2 linked regions of the Lytechinus pictus genome follow. The protein of the gene in region 1 purifies or fractionates together with the protein of each later gene. This does not show direct contact. Links are inferred from orthologs where the notes say so. Each region holds a gene or a part of one and is shown on either strand. Other genes may lie near its edges.

Evidence for each region.
Region 2: the proteins of tyrosine-protein kinase CSK-like (region 1) and leupaxin-like purify together in Homo sapiens (affinity purification with mass spectrometry; 4 studies listed by BioGRID and IntAct, with this or other methods). This does not show direct contact. The link is inferred for Lytechinus pictus from reciprocal best matches to the Homo sapiens genes CSK and PXN.

What each region holds. Positions count from the first base shown.
Region 1 is NC_087249.1:16,399,469-16,408,412, reverse strand, and holds the start of tyrosine-protein kinase CSK-like, read left to right. Parts: upstream 1-4,853; 5' UTR 4,854-4,944; intron 4,945-6,411; 5' UTR 6,412-6,598; intron 6,599-8,032; exon of another isoform or gene 8,033-8,115; intron 8,116-8,944. UniProt on the Homo sapiens protein: Non-receptor tyrosine-protein kinase that plays an important role in the regulation of cell growth, differentiation, migration and immune response.
Region 2 is NC_087246.1:21,755,617-21,764,301, forward strand, and holds the start of leupaxin-like, read right to left. Parts: upstream 3,541-8,685; 5' UTR 576-3,540; coding exon 554-575; intron 1-553. UniProt on the Homo sapiens protein: Cytoskeletal protein involved in actin-membrane attachment at sites of cell adhesion to the extracellular matrix (focal adhesion). Recruits other proteins such as TRIM15 to focal adhesion.

The sequences.
Region 1 (8,944 bases):
CGTGTATCTAACATTACATTGGTTAGAGTGGAGACCCAAAAGATTATCTCTTCTTTGCGCACAATGTAATCCCACTTGCCCGATATAGGTACTATTTTTTTTTTTGGGGGGGGGGGGTGTCATTAAAAAAAAAAAGCTTAATCTAAATTGTATTTTAAAATGTGCCTTTCGTTAAATGCTCTGCATAATTATTAATACAATTATGATAAAGCGAATAAAGTTCATTTTGACTTTGCGATCGTTGTGATGTAAGCCGGTGTGTATAAAGTCGTGCATATAACATGTTAAAAATAAAGGCAAAGTCAATCCTTATAAGTTGGCTTAGACAAAAGGAGAAAAATCACCAAGCAGTATGTTGAATGTTTCATTGGAATCAAATGTAAATTTAGTTAAGATATTTTTAAACTTTGATCGACATCGCTTGATAATGCATCCAGTGGCCCAATAAATCCCAGACGTATTTGCCAGGTGTTTCAATGACCAGGAAATCGACGAATGAAAAAGACGAGAGACAAGCATCATAAATGCAAAAAATGTATTTAAAAAAATGAAATAGGGTTGAAAAAAAAAACGAGACACGCTTCTTCAAATATAGAAATAAAGTTCAGAGCACTAGGAACGATTTCAAGATGGGGGTGCTGGCGGTTTTGTTCAGGGGTTGTCGTCAGAAAAAATAAAGAAGAAAAAATGACAAGCAAAACAAATCCCCGTCGTTTGGGGGCAATAACCTTACTTTTTTTGCTTGTCATATCGATTTCCAAGGGGGTGCTGCCTATGGTAAATACATACACAGCATCCCAGCAACCTCGCTTCCCAGGGCCAAAAATATTATGTAAGAAGATATAGATAAGACCACAAAAGATGTAAAAATGACAGAAAAGTAAATATATAGGGGGAAATGAGGTCACTTTAAGTGTGAAATTGATTGCATATAGGTGAAAATGAAACCGTGATTAAACACAGAATTCCTTCTTCGACTCATACTTTGTTACATTGAATGACGGTTACTTTACTGTCAAACCGAATGAAATGAAAGCTAATTTGAATGATAATTTCGCTTTTTCCAATGATAAAAAATAGAAATGAACACAATACTTGAAACACGGGAAAAACGCTGAAGCATAATCTAATAGAATATCCTGTCAAAATTGGCCGGGAAAACTATATTACGATAGTGATTCCATTGTGCAGTTCAGCTTATGGTCAAGAGGTTTAACATTATTGTCTCAGAAGTGATTCCCTTTTTTTAATAAATAAAACAATTAAATATAGACTCTTTGAAAAAAAAATGGCACTCGCTGATTACAGTGAATGGCACATAAAGAGATAATAATCCTGACACTATCCAAGCTGTTGAAAAGTAAACTGTATTCTCCCCCTTTATTTTGCAATTTTGATTTCGCTTTTCACCATAAGTAGGTGCATAATCAGTTAGAGGAAAAAACAAACAAACAAACAGATCACCACTTTTTGTATTGTTTTTTTTATGAGAGCACAGTGTTCACCTTCCCTAATATATCTTTTATTTACATGACTTTTGTTTCACCCATTATTACAAAACCTCAATCGTAGAGGGGGGTATGACAACTTACTTTTCAGCGCATATGAATTGGTAAACAATGAAACGCGGAAATAACAGATGGGATTCAGATTCCATTAAAAGAAAGAGAGAGGGACGGGGAGGGGGTGAGAAAATTGGAGAACTCCATTTTTATGAGAGAAACACGGTGGGAAAAAGAAAGAAAGAAACAAAAGCAGCAACGGTGAGGGGGGGAGGGAGGGTCTATAGTCAGGCTCTGGAAAATATCAGGGGAGTCATCTCCCAGGATCAGAACAAACAACAACGACACAAAAAAAAAAAAAACCACACCAAGTCATCATAAGGGCATGTGTCATAAAGAAATACAACTACAATGACTTATTTGCCATTATGCAACTACAATGGAAACCGTGATTGTGATTGCATGGCTGCTGAGCACAACTTAGTTGTTACCATAGTTTCCATAATTATAAATGGTAAAGATACCATGGTTATCAAACGGGACCTAGGTCATAAGCATCTATTTTTTTTTACTCTTTAAATTTGAAATTTTCTCCCGGAATCTACAGTCACGAGTTTCACGACCCCTCATTTTGGCGCATATCACCATAACCGCACAAAATACCTTATTTTTACGTCCCGGCATCTGTTCCGCCCCGTTATCCCGGCCTGTGGGAAATATGCAACAGTTATTTCTTTCACTGATAATCCCAAACTCTGTAAAAAAAAATATAATATGAAAATAAAAGTTAAAAAAAAAATGACGAAGTCTGCATTTATCTTCTGCATGCTCTCAGAACTGAAAAGGGTCGTCTTTCATATCAAAATACAACATTGTTGACAGAACTATAGTATTGATACCAATATATGAGGCCTATATTTCTGTAAGGAGATGGTTAAGTAATTTTAGCCAATAGGGTAGGTTTATGGATCCCGGATTTCGTAAGGGGGGAATATCTGAATTCCGATCAGAGCAGATTTCTGGAGGCACATATATGCCTTAATCTGGTATAGTACTCTAGTAAAGTTGGACTGATACGCAAAATATACAGGGGCTGATTCAGCATTTGCTAATAACAAAGGGGAGGGGGGGGGGTGCTGGACAAGTTTAATCCATATATCACCAGGTCGGCCGCACGAAGAGCACCTCTTTTGTGGGGGGGGGGGGAGTAGTCGTAAAGATCGAAGTTTAAGTATGCTTTCATGTAAACGAAAAGCGCAAGTAGATTTATCTTTTCATTTATTAATATATATATATAATTATGTTAATGGTTAATGTATTAAAACCTATATGCATATCGAGCATAATAGGCCTATATTAATGCGAGCACGTAAACTGAAATAAAAATAAGCGCTTGTTTATTATATATATATATAATATAGGCAAAGAGATAATGCATTTATATAGTTCCAACAGAGTTTATTTCCAAGTCCAAATTTTCGACGTAAATCCCACGTCTTCTTCAGGGATACAATAAAGCTCACAGATTCCCATATATATATATATATATATATATATATATATATATATATATATAATCTATATATATGTATATATATATATATATATACAATGCGTCCCCCAAAAATATACACTTTTGAAATGGCTGCCAAATAAAAAATATATCACTTTTGGGAAAAACACGTACATACATGGAAGCCAATAAAGTCAACTTTCAAATGACACCAAAAAATTGGAAAACTCTTCATGCTTGAGCGAGCACTGCCCACTGAAACAAGGGGCATGAAAATTAGGCTGGGCCGGAATTAGCCTTCCAATTTCTGTCAGTTTTTGAGAGGCAAATCCTTTGGAACTTGCAAAGTTTAAGAGTGTTGTGATAAATTAATGACCAACCGTGACCAGTTTTGGTTGTTTAAGCAAATTTCATAAATTATTAAATTGAATTTTAATGCATGAGTGAACACAAATTACACTTTTTGGGCAGCATTTCAACTATATCATGTGGATCTCAGCAATGTGTTCATGGGAGTCGGGAGAATAAGGGGTGAGATATAACTTAAGTGGGAGAAGTAGGTTGATGGAATAAGGGTCAACAAAACATGTAGCCCCCCTCCCTCTCTCCCGCCCTCCCCTCCTGTAGAGAGACTGATTGCTATTGTCATGTACAAGTGAAGTCCAGCTAGAGCAGAATGCTGATTTAATGATAAATTCTGAATTGGGGCATCAACTTAATCCTATCAATCATTTGATCAACAATTTATCAATAAATAAACTCATTCAGTGTGCAATGTGATCAATCAAACATTCATTTTTTCAATATATTATTTCATAAATCATCATAATCAGTCAATTTCTTGGTAATCATTCAATGAAATAAAAAACTGACCATCAGCCACCGGTCACTTGGCAGTTAAGTTTTGAATAGGCTACACTCCAGGTGAGACCATGGACCTATACTATATAGCTATATAGTAGGTTCATGGTGAGACAGAGAGAGAGATAGAGCCGGGGAAATGGAGGTGGAAGGGGGGGGGGTACAAATGAATTTTAATTTGTAAAAGGACAAAGAAGAGGAATGCCCTTTTAACCTAGTCTTACCATATCTCGCCCTCTTGCTTGTAACATATACCATCACATTTGACTCTGACTCTCACGAACACACTGGTCAGGTCATACACTAAAATTACAATTCTTGCTCACTCATGCATTAAATTTCAATTTAGTAACTCATGAAATCTGCCTATAAGAAACCATACCTTATCTCACTCATTAATTTAGCATAACACCCTTAGCTTTGCAAGTTCCAAAGGACTAACCTCTAAAAAAACTGTAAGGCTAATTCCTGCCCAGCCTATAGCCCAGCTTAGTCTCTCAGGAGGAGAGAAGTAGTGGGATCTTTTTCTTTTCCCTTTTTTCTCTATCTTTTTTCTATTTCCTCCCCCAGCTCTCCCAAACTTCTCTCTCTCCCAATTTCCCCTTCCCTTTCTTTCTCCTCTCCCTTCCCTTTCTTTTCCTCACCCTCTCTTTTCCCTAAAGTTAGGAGTTGGCTTTATATATATATATATATATATTATTGTCTAATACTGATAAATTCTTTAATCTTTTTCTTTTCCTTCTCATATTCTCTCTTAGCTCCCGGCTCTCCCTCTCCATCTCTAATCTCCCCATTCCTTATCTTTCCCCTCTCCCTGTTCATTTGTTTCTTCTTTTTATCTTTTCTCCCTTCCTTTTCTTTTCCCCTCTTCCTTTTTCTTTGGGGGGGGGGGGGGGGGCAAGGCCCCTTCGGTCCCCGCCCCCATGCCATGCCTCGCAATTACAGTAGTGGAATACAATCGAATCAATGATCGTGAAATGAAAGAAAAAAGGAAAAACGTCAGGGAGGAGGTGATATTTCCGGCTTCTCACTCCAGTAATAATCAACATTTTATAAGTTTTAATTCAGGTAAGACTGAAAATTATCATATGTTAGTGTTCTAAAGAGTATGTGAGTTAATTTTCTGCTGGCCTATTGGTATTTTTCTGGCAAATACAGTGTAAAAACGATATATATTTCTCTAGCACCGGGTAAAAAAGTGAGCCTAGTCCCTTGTGCTCGATTTTATGTAGTGTTGACTTGTTATTATGCGGTAGTCAGTAGATAACGTTAGCATTATTTCCTTTTCGGCAGCAGTGTGGCAATTATTATTGTTATTGTTTCGTGTTAGGCATTCATTAAGGCGCTAATGCAGTTTCGCACCGGCCGATTACCAGCATACCTCATCACCAATAGGCCTACTTGTTCCCAAATCAAAATGTCATGACAAGTCTCTCTCAGACTCAGAGACTCAGACTCAGTCACATTTCGAGGTAAATATACCCACCTCTTTGCCAAATATCGTGATCGGGAATGGCTGTATTTCAGCTTTGATTTCGATGTCATTGTTCGAATCCTCAGAGTCAGACATCACTTCGCGGATCGCTTGGATTCGCCGTGCGCCGTAATGTTGATATGGACTGAAGTTAGCAACCAAATCATGCGAACATGTGGCGAACAAACTGCCAGCATGCTGCAGGCGAATCTTTTGGTTGCATAACTTCAGTCCATATCAACATTACGGCGCACGGCGAATCCAAGCGATCCGCGAAGTGATGTCTGAGGATTTGAACAACGACATCGAGATCAAAGCTGAAATACAGCCGATCTCGATATTTGGAAAAGAGGTGGGTATATTGACCTCGAAATGTGACTGAGAGACTTGTTATGACATTTGGGAACAAGTATTGGTGATGAGGTATGCTGGTAATCGGCTGGTGCAAAACTGCATTAGCGCCTTCATTAATATATTGCAAGGTAACTATAATAAAGTAATATCGACGTGTGAGCTCAAACTCGCGCTCGCTGGGCATCACTGCCACTGGCAATTGCTGTGACTGTTTGGCCGAATCGCTGCAGAGACAGTGCTGCAGCAGAGCTCTGCATGTGCCAGGCAATAGCAATGTGCTAACTCGGCCTGGGGAGCTCCGCCACCTCACTTTGAGCCTTGATTTTGTCGAGTCTCACAGCTAGTAGCCTGACCAAGTCTCGATCTCGACAGCTGGCAGCCGTGTCTGTTTCGAGGAGTTTTATAACATTTTTATAAAAAAATTCTCTGACTCTTACACAGACGGCTCGCTATCGTGCAGCCACCATTAGGGTTTAACAATGCAAAATCCCCCCGAAGGGGCTCATCAATTTTTTACTTTATTTAATTAAAATATATAAAAAGAACTGATTACAAAATAAAGATTATTATTCTGTTTTGGCCTGAAATGCACCAAAACGGGGAAAATAAACTTAAAAGGGGGAAAAAACAGTGACTTACTTCGGCTGTCGCTCAACTTCACTTCCCTGTTTTATGCGAACTTAACACATAAACATATGGCTGTTCAGTCCCTGTGCAGATTGAGCTAGAACTTCGGTGTCTGTATTTGGTATTAAAGTGGAGCCAACAGAGTTCAGCGGAACAGCCAACATAACAGTCAGAGACCGAAGCTTTTGGTCTAGACCAAGACATGCCGCTTGGCGACAGAGTTTCTCTATGATTGGTCTCGCAGCTTGAAACAATCGTTTCGCATTTGTAAGTTGGGAAAAAAATAAATATTGATTCTTCAGTTGAATACAGCATAAATTCTACATTTTCCGAGATTTGACAGGCAATCATATTTTTACAAGCCAGAGCAACACATTTATCAAACACAGTAAATGGTAATTCATCACAAGAAAGTCCCGATATCAACACCCAAATCCCATTTAAATGCTGAATCTGCGCCATATTTCCAAATCACGCAAGAAATATTTAGATCTTGCTTCTTGGTAGGTCTGGAACATGTTTCATAAAGAATTGATATAATAACATACGCACAATGTCTATAACAAGTTCACTATCAGCCAATCAGATTGAAGGATTTCAATAGCTTTTAACTGTTATTGAAATTTGTTTTTATAACAAGTTTTATGAAACAGAAATCAGGTAGGGTTACAATGACTTGTGGTGCGATGCACGTCAGTGGCACTCCCATGCAATGACATGTGACACTTATGCTGAATCACAGCGATGCCTTTAGTTTACAACAATAATATAACCTTTATTTTTTTGTCTTTTTGGTCTTTTTAAACAAGGCTGATTTTGCCAATTTGTCAATTTTCTTTTTTCATTGTTTATTTCTTCCTTTAATTCCATTAATAAGTTTCCTTAGGTACACAGTATCTCAAAGTACTCTATAGTTTTATGCACCGGATTAAACAAAATACTAAAAAATTAAAGAAAGCTCCACCTTCCTTCCACATACTCTCCCACCCTCTCTCTTTTGGTGTGGCTTGGTCGCTTTGCTCCCTTGCATTGTTTCTAATTTTAGGATAATTCTCTTGGCAAATCATAATACATCCCTGAATTTGATGTGAAGACCTGATAAAAGTAGTTAAAGATGGCAAATTCGTATTTCAGATGTTTTAAACAAAAAAAAAGGAGAATGAAATACTAAATGTTAAAGATGCATTTTAAGCATGGCACAAATAATGTAAGTGCAGGAATTGGTTGACTAGGTTTGTGGTACATGTTTCAGCATAAATGTGAAACAATCATTTTTACATTGTACTATTTGTAGAGTAGTTTACACAGGTACATGTGTCTGTAATGATGACAGAAACATTCAATTCACTGTTCATTTTATTTTAGACTGCATAGCCATTTGGTTCCCATACTCACTTAAAAAAAGACATCAGCTGCTTTGATACAGTAAAAACAAAGTGAAATTACTGCAATACATACAGCATTATTGACACTGTAGGCTTATTCATAAATTGGACGAAGTACAGCAGGGTACTATATAACTTTAGAAGCACTTGCCCGGTCGGGCAAGTAAATTTTTAAATAGTTGGAATATACTTGCCCGAAAATCTATTTCACTTGCCCGAAGAAATCCTTGAAAAAAAAAGTTTTACCTCTTCAAAGGAAAGTTTCTTTTAATATTTAACCCTAAAGGCACTGGGGGGGGGGGGGGCGTGATAATCTGAATTCTAAAAACAAAGAAATACATGTACATCAGGAAGAAATTTGCTTTCTCAATTTTTCTTTGTGGAAACTTTTGAATTACCGTAAGTAACGGTGTATTAACCGCACCTTTTTCTCGGCGGGATATAAGCAAAAGTCGGGGGTGCGGTTTATACACGGTGACGGGTCTGAGCCCGCCCGCGTAGCCCCTCCCGAACATGTAAGAAGTCTGCCAGTTCACAACACATCGAGTGGCCGGCCGTAGCCGCCCAGTGCAATGTCGTTTAGAGGGGTATGAGCCGCGGGTAATGGGTAGCGATTATTATGATCTTATGATCAAATACTGTCGTAACAAATGCACCCACCTTCATGACACTAATTTCGACTTTATTCTCGATTCAAAGCAGCGAAGTTCCCTGGCTAAGTTCATAGAGACGCCAAGCATTCTCGGTAATAATTTGTCACAGCTGAGCGAGAGCCAAGAGCTAGCTCGCGTTGTATTTTGGTTTTAGTGCGACTTAAGCTGGCGCTATTCATTTAATTTAACCCCTCAAAGTCCCGTTTCGCGCCAGCTTATTTTTTTCTTTCCCGTTTGCTTTTCATAAGATACCATGTACACCGTGCACCACGCACGATAGAGACGGCACGAAGCCGTCAAACAACTGGAAAAAATACAAATTTCTTTGTTTCTTGAACCTTCCTGTAATCCCGTATCCAAAATTCATGCTAAGACATCGAATGCTAGACAAATTCTGAAAGTGATTGTGAGGTTGTGATGCAAGAAATGTGAAAGACACAGATCACAATTTGATAAGATGTACTGGTAGTGGTACCGTATCGAAGTTTGAAATGTACATGTACATTGTACAAGAAAGGCAGTGCTGTGTGTGTGTACACTGTGACTGTGAGGTGAGTGAGTGTGTAAATTGCCAA
Region 2 (8,685 bases), on another chromosome or scaffold:
ACATGAAGATGCAGTGGCAGATCTGAGCAGAAGCACAAGGGATGCATGCCCTCTAACGAAAAACATCCATCAATTGAACACCATACAGCAAAATCTAAACAAAGTTGTAATCTACGCCCTTTCTAATTTCAAATTTGTTTTTTGCATCTTTTATTTTGAAATCCTGGATCCACAGATGATGGAGATGTGTATGCATGTATGATGAAGGTCTCAGCTCAGTAAGAAGTGAAAGTGCTTTCTGTCTATGAGGTATAAAATATTGCAATGTGTGTACATGTACCATTTATAAATGTAATGAATGGTACAAAGTAATCTAGGTAGGGTAATCCACTACCCAAGAGTAAGTACTGGTAAAAATACAAAGATCACTTGACATCATGTAGTGCCTACAATATGTACATACAATCCTTCACAAAGCATTTGGATGTGGCAATGTTTGTAAACATCCATCACCTGCTGGCATTTTATAAAGTCTTCTACAGTGTAAATTACATGCCAATCAACACCAGCACCATTGCCTAAAGAGATTACAAACACCACACATGATCCTTACCCTCTAGGAGATATCCCAACATTTACAGCAAAATATTATATTCCAAATGAGAGATGGATAATCCCTGCTACATATTATGAAGACAAGAAATACATAAGCCTACATACAGTGTGAGCAATGTTTGGTGGCTGTGAAACGCAATGAGATGGATTTGAAAGAAATGTACCGAGATGACTTGGTTACCGCACGCACACGCAGCATCTGGTGGTGACCTCAGACCGGAGTATTAGTCATAACACAGAGAAAGCTCAGTGCAGAGGGGAGTGGAGTGGAGCAAGTGTGGGGTCTCACATGTGATAAGGCCTTTGCCCATATATGAGCATGCTCCCTGCCCCGCTGACTGCCTCTCACCATCACGGCAACGAGCATCCTTGTCAGCATCACTTGGCTGCATCCAATGGTCCCTCGTGTGTAAAAGCAACACATCTGCTCTCCTGTTCATGTCTACAGTATATGTGTCATACATGTAGGTGTGAGGGTAAAACTAAGGTTTCCCAGAAGAGTGTTGGGAAGAAGGGGTGGGGCAGGTGGGAAGGGCAGGGTGTGGATTTTTAGAAAGAGAGGGGTGGAAGGCAGGGAACCAATCAAAAAGAAGGGAAGAGGAGAGAAACAATGGAAGAAAGGAGGATGCAATAAGGGGGAACAGATGAGAATGGCAGAATGTCAATATTATTAGAAGGGAAGATAAATGACAGGAAGGAAGAGAGAGAGAGAATGGAAGAGAGAGCAGTGGTGAGTGACACAAACAGACAGAGGAGATGGGTGAAAATGAGAAAGGGGAGAAGATGGATTTTTTATCAATAGAGAATGCAGAAAGGAGGTGCAACGAGAGAAGAGGAGAAGGATGGGGCAATGGAGATGTCATTGACGAGAGAAATGTGCCGTGGAATATTCATCAGCATCAAGAGGAAACACATACTGTCCAAACATGAGTAAAGGTGAAGGACCTATACCATAAATTCATGGTGGCATCCTTAGTCGAGAGGAAATGGTAGACCAGGATACATTACAATATCTAAAATCAAACAATATTTCAACAAAAGGAAGTCATCATTTTCGTTGCAGGAAAGTGAAGGAGCAATACTTGTTAAAGTGAACACAGATTCAATAAGATTTTGAAGACGGACTACAAAAAATATCACATTCACATGGTTAGGGCTATATATTTTCATTTTCCACCATGCAATTCATCTACTATCCAAAACTGTTGGTGTCTATCGCAGGTACATGTAGGTCTAGACACTGGAATAAAAATCTGATCTTGTGTATGTTATGGTTCCATGACATTTGCTCCGACGACAATTGTTTTGATGGAAAATCTGCACGTTTAGCCAAACATAAAACCTACATGTAGCCTCCGAAACTATATAAATTCCAATCCTTTTCTTAACATTACTTTTAACCAAAAACTCTATAACATTTACAATCTTAACTCTAATCCCATGCCCTCTGAAATATTTAGAGTGTAGCAACTGCCACCGTACCTGTCTAGCTACATGTACATGTAGTTATACTGGATGAAATGTGTGTCGGTACAAAGCACTGCCAAGTATTAAAAGTACAACACTAAACCTTATACCCTCAAAACCAATTGAGATGACGGAATGCAGAAGAGGGAGGAAAGAATTAATAATGTAATGATTGAGGAGCGGCAATCAGAGAAGTTCTTAGCATTCTACAATGTACATCACATCTTGATAACACTGCAAAGTACGTTCACAAAATTGAAATAAATAGATTTATATTGCTAGAAATAGCGGGATGATATCGGGGCTGATGGAGATCAAAACTGAACATACCATTCTGTCTACAGGCCCTCCTCACATACTGACAGTCACATTTTCTGACAACACAAATGATACTCCCACACACTCACTGTCATGATCACTACAAACTGTGCCATGCATCATCTCCATCTGAGCTGAATATATTGTTTCCAGAATGTCATCTCATTAAAACAGGGATGAACTCCATCAATGATAGAACCTCTGTTTGCTCTCTCTATGGTAGAATCAGGGCCCCTATGGGCTGGTTTTTACACTTTTATCAATAATACTAATAAATGCAATCAATCATAGAAGTCAGCCCCACGACAAATTACATGTAAGCTATTAAAGGCCTAGTTTGGCTATAAACATGAAAGTATCCTAGGGATAAGAACCTTTTCTTTATAAAGTTATGTGTAACTTGAATATTAACTGCAACAGGGCAAAAAACATAATTCTTTTTTTCATATCATTTTTAACCGAATCATGTTGACATAAAGAATGTTAATTTGAGTTTATAATACAACTCACAAGCAATATACTGTATGTTAAAGCCAATTCGGCAGTGCCACAATTCAACACTAACTTGCAAGTTGGTCAAACAATCACTCAATCGCAATCGCTCGTTACATCTTACTCTTAGAACTAAGAAAACTCACTGGCTTTCAATACTTGAGTTTGATAAATTCGATCGCAACTCTTTGATAGAAAGGGCCCAGACCTTTTTTTTTTACTTTATAAGATAGATAGTAGAATTTAGAACCATTTGGAGGCAACAGGAGCGGGGGCAAAACCCCTTGTCCTGCCATCAACCTCTCCCAAAATATCAGCAACATTCCTTCATGTATATCACCTGATATTTGAAAGTGCAGAAAGGGATGTGAAATCCTTTTTAATCTTTTTCACTCATTGGCCCCCATCAATCACTGACATACTGTAAATAATGGCACCATTTCACCTCCGATGACACTTCTTTCCATGCAGGCTAGTGCAGAGTATGGAGGTACATACATGAACATGTAATATTACTTTTTGATATCCCAAATGTATATTCACAGCACTGTGCAATACAGTGTTTCTTGTAATCCAACAACCTGGGTTTGAAACCAACAAACCAAATCAATGCGCTACATGTTTGTAAAACCCCCTTGGATAATAGAATACCCAGTAAAATTATGTTCAAAAGAAATCAATCATCACTACCAAGTACATATGTAGGCCTAGATGTATAGTGGAGAAGAACACTGGAACAAAAGGATAAACAATTTGCTCATCAAAATTTTACCTTCTTCTATAGGCTAATGAAGGTATAGGCCTATACATTTTGCGCTATCTATTAGTGCATACCGGTACATGGTATCTCTAAAGAGCAAAATTTCCATTTCTTTTTCTTTATAATCACCATCCAGTATGAATTTGATGCACTGATTGATATTCCAAATAACACTCATGGGATTTGAAGCCGGTACTATCAAAAGATGATAATGAGGAGCCTGAACATGCATTACAAATTTGCAGTCATAGTCTACTCAAATAAATGTGGCCAATATGTGAATCTCTTCCAATACATGACTTTTCTGCATGACTGCTCATTAATGCACCAGTTACAAGTATATTGCCTGCTACTGTAGGTGACATTTCATGGAGATAAAAACATAAATGAACATGACATAGCCTACATGTACATGTATGTGAGTCATCACACACACCACTGAATATCAGGGGCGGTATTCTGAGGTCGTTTTATCTTTAAAATATTTTATTTTATCTCTTAAAATGAAATTGGTATTCTGAGATGACATTTTATCTCTCAGATAAAATTTAACATTTTATCATGCTTATAAATTTTATCTTGCGTATCTATGATGATACGCAACAGAGCAGTGGCTGCGTAGACATACCCATCGCGTATCTGGCCATTGCAAAGCGGGTAATGTGCTTGCGCCCAAGTTACTTTGAAGAAAAAATAAAATAACCTTAAAAGAGGGTAGGGGCTATTTTATCTCCGCGACGTTGATTTCGTCAATATTTCTAGGTGAATTAACTCCAACTGTTGGCATGAAATTTAAGAGAAATTATAGATTCATTGAGAACAACACCTTAAAGTTATTCCTGTACAATCAGGAAGCATTTCTTTTCTTGACTAATATTGTCTTTGAAATGATGCTTGAAAAGATGCGATATAGACATCGATAAAGAGATGAGAGTAATGCAATTTTAGTTAAAAAGAAATCTCTGTAAAGACGCGCAAGCGTATAGTGCAAGCGTATTGAAGTCAATAAATTGACGCAATCTCACTCCTTTGCCACACCTCCTAGCGGAATGGATTTCCATTGGTTGAGTGATATGAGAGAGCTATAAAAGCGCGTTTCTAATTGGATATTGATTAAAAAATAGGTGTGTCTTACAGAGATAAAATGAAGATAAAATTGTTCTCAGAATACCAATTCGGAGAGATTTTAAGGGTATTTTATCTCACTGATTTTAACGGAGGTAAAATATTTTATTTTAACTGAGATAAAATGGATCTCAGAATACCACCCCAGGGCTTTTCAGGCCTACATACAAATACATATGTACATGGACCCTCCTGACCGCTCCCATCTGCCCCACCCCAAAGCAAACTTTTTATCTTCTAAAAAAAGGATGTGCATGAGAGTGTAGACCTGGGGAAACTGTTTCCCGGCGAAGTTCGCCAGTGAAACAGCCAGTATGAAAGGTAACCGGAGAACTTCTCCTCTTTGATGACGTCAGAGGTCATTTTTTTCTCCCCGAAATCCCCTGAACTGAGATTCCGCGCGCTAGCTACATGTAGCTATTATTTCCGTGGATAAATGTAGAAGGCCAAGCTTTATGAGCGATTCAATAATTCCATAGAGTTAAATACCCTCGAACATACAGTTTGTTTTTTCACTAACGATATTCATTATAAAAGCATTATTTTACATGCTGGAAATGCGCTTAAAATATCAAAATACTTTGATTTTTTTTTGGTTTTGCTTCTAATATTTCTAGAATTGGTTGTAATTTATATTTTAACACCTTTTTGTAATCGGTAAGAAGCAATGTTTACAATTCATTTTATTTTTGTTCGTTCTAATTCTGCATGCACCTGCTGAGTGAGCTGATCAGCAGGAGCAGCTGAGAAGTGTTTACCTGCCGTCATCTCCAAAACTTCACTGTAAGAATTAATCAGGTGTCTGCAATTAATAAGAAAAGAGTAAAATAAAAATTCAAATTAAAAAAAGCGCACGCTTTCATTGACACCGGGTCTGCACTTACTTCCGCCCGAGCAAATTACCAATCGCCTTTCGCCGGGGAAGTGCAAAAGGGTACATATTTTTTCTTCGCCGGGGAAGTGAGGAATGCATGCCAGAGAAGTTCGCCGGGGAAAAATGAAGAGACCAGTCTGAAAGGAGTAATAGATTACTTGCACACTGAAGAAATAGGATCCACTGTATAAGAATGTTTTTGATAGACCTCAATTTATTAATTGGTGTCGTTCATTCGCTCTGAAGTCCTGAAGCACCTTTAGCATAAATAAAGATGGAAAGTTCACCACATGTACAGTACATAGGCCTAAATCTTAATATTGAATTATTAATCATTATTTTTTATACTATCTGTATCATTTAGCTTACATGTAGATTTATTTTCATGTCCGCCTAGTGAGGTTGATACTCATGAGGATCCTGCTATTTCTTCCACTCAAATAAGCTATCATTCACTGCTCTGGATAGGCAATAAATAATTTGCAGTCAATGTCAACAATGCCAAGAATGCCACATTTCCTGGAGCATCCAGATTAACCATAAGACCAGACAGACAGAAATAGTCTTTCAAAATGGACATTATCATTCTTCGCATGTGAAATTAATAAATTTGTAACATTTGAAGAGCTTTGCCACCCCCCCGGAAAAAAAATTGATTACCGGTAGCCTTGCAATGTCCCTCTCTTTGGCCCTAAATAGGCCTATACATGTACATGTATTTTTTTGCCTTTTTCATTTCCCCATTTGCGTTGTTAATATAAAATGTGCCCTTGCCCTAAAAATACAGAAATACAAAGTATCTGTAGCCTCGACCTAATTCCCCTTACATGGGACCTACATTGATTGATTGATAGTTTATTTTGCTTTTAAGAGTGTCATCTGCACCAATCAGCCACATTTTACATAAAACCAATTATATTACCTAGCACACAATTATTAACAAGTAAAATCAAAGTACAAAAAATAAAGACAAAATAACAAATGGGTCTGATTTGCTTTTGGTGTAGACTAATATTCAGAGAGAGGGATGCCCAGATGGGGATCAGTCACAACTTCTTCATTCTTTAGATCTTGACCTCATTCATACAGAGGTCCTTGGTGTCATCTAAGGTCAAACACCAAGCTGTTTGGCATTCCACTCTCTAAATAAACATGATATGCTAATGATACCACAAGTCCATCCTTCATTTAGTCTGCTTATTCAGACATTATTATAGTTCACGATACCACAAGGAGTACATGTAGGCATACTATCAAGACCAACATGTATATACCTTTGAAAGTAGTGCTGTTATCAATAACCTCTTTATCGCTAGTCTTGTTGATAAACGCATGTTTTTTGCCACTTAGCAAATAGCGATATCGATAACTTTTCTCTCATTGTCGATAATACCTGATATTATGTAGGGACATACAGTTCAAAATACAAATTTCTGAGACTGACAAAGAAAAATTGAGAAATCTCAAGAACAAGTGGAATGCCTAGTCTAGCAGATCATAAAACGGGTCTTTATACTTGAACAACATTCTGGTGATATTTCAAAAACTTATGCTTAGTTCTATAGATGTTGACTACACCACCAACCTCAGAAAAGCGGCGCCTACATGTACATGTATGTCTCACTTCTGCCAATGTATGCAGGCAAGACAAACATGAAAAGGTTGAAAACATATATGTATTTTAAGGCATACATGTACATGTACATGTAGGCCTAAAAACAGCCTATTTAAATTCAAAGAAGACTTTTATTTAAACAAAAAAAACAAAACAACTGTAATGTTAGATTCATAGACACTGGTTAAGGACTTGGACTTGATTTTTTTTACTCTTCCTACAATGGGATGCAGGACTTACATGTAGGCCTAAAAAGCTGACTGGAGTACCGGGGGGGGGGGTACTTCCATTGACAAATGGATACCATGCATGACCAAAAATACACGTAAAAAGGATCTCTTTTTCAAGATAGGGCTTATTACGTACGTAACGTGTCAAAAACAATAAAATAATGAAAAAAGGGTATATATTTTGCTAGGAAAACTTTGTGTTTACGGTCCAATTTGCGAGGGTATAAAAAGACTATAGGCCTACAACCTGTAGATGTACTTTTTGCCCCAACACTACGTGCTTAGGGTCCAAATCGAGCGAGGTGTGTGGGGTAGTACTCCCCCGCCCAATGAAAGTAAAAGGTATAAGCAGACGTCCATGATCATGTCCGTGACAAACAGTTATTACAGACATTGTTGTACTTGTTAAGGGGCTCAATTCAGGGTTCTTTTCAAGGGTATCATTTTGTTTCCAATACTTGTTAAAGGTAAATGCTAGTTTTGGTAACGATATCAAAATGAGTTCGTACAGAATCCAATGAAATGACCACCAAAGTGTCTGTTTGTATAAATAAAACGCATGTGCCAAAGGATTCTGGAAGAAATTGTGTAATTGCTGAGAAATCAGCAAATAAGCACAGGATTCGGGTAGAGCGTCGGGCCCGACGCTCAAAGCAATAATTATACACTGTCCCACGTGCGCTTATCTGTGTTGGGGAAGTTCAGTCTGAACATTTTTCAGCGTAGATTTCAAGATTTCACAACATTCAGTTTATGTAACTGTACCAGATCTAGATCCTCGATGATATACTGACAATTAAGCCTGGTTTTACAGACTTTCTCATGAAATCAGTGTTTACTGCAACTACTGGAATTTCTCTTTAAGGGTAGGGTTTCACATGCCAATACTTGTTAAGGGGTGCAGTTTCAGAACATGGAAAATACTTGTTTGAGGTGCTTTTCGAAACCCTGTGGTTACGCATGGTTTCCACTCGTCAATGGAAGTGCCCCCCCCCCCCCCCGGGCTGGAGTATCAGAAGTATATATTGAAAAGAAATCCGGGAATCTGTACAATAATTGCAATAACGTTCCCTTCCAAGCTTTTTCCCCTTCTAAATATATGCAACATGGACACAGAATGTGTATACATGTACATGTAGGCTTACATCCTGCTACATGTACATGTACTGTCCACACACATGTATGAATATATGATTTGATTTGTTTTATTGATTTCCGTTTCACAATTGTACATAATTATGATAAATAT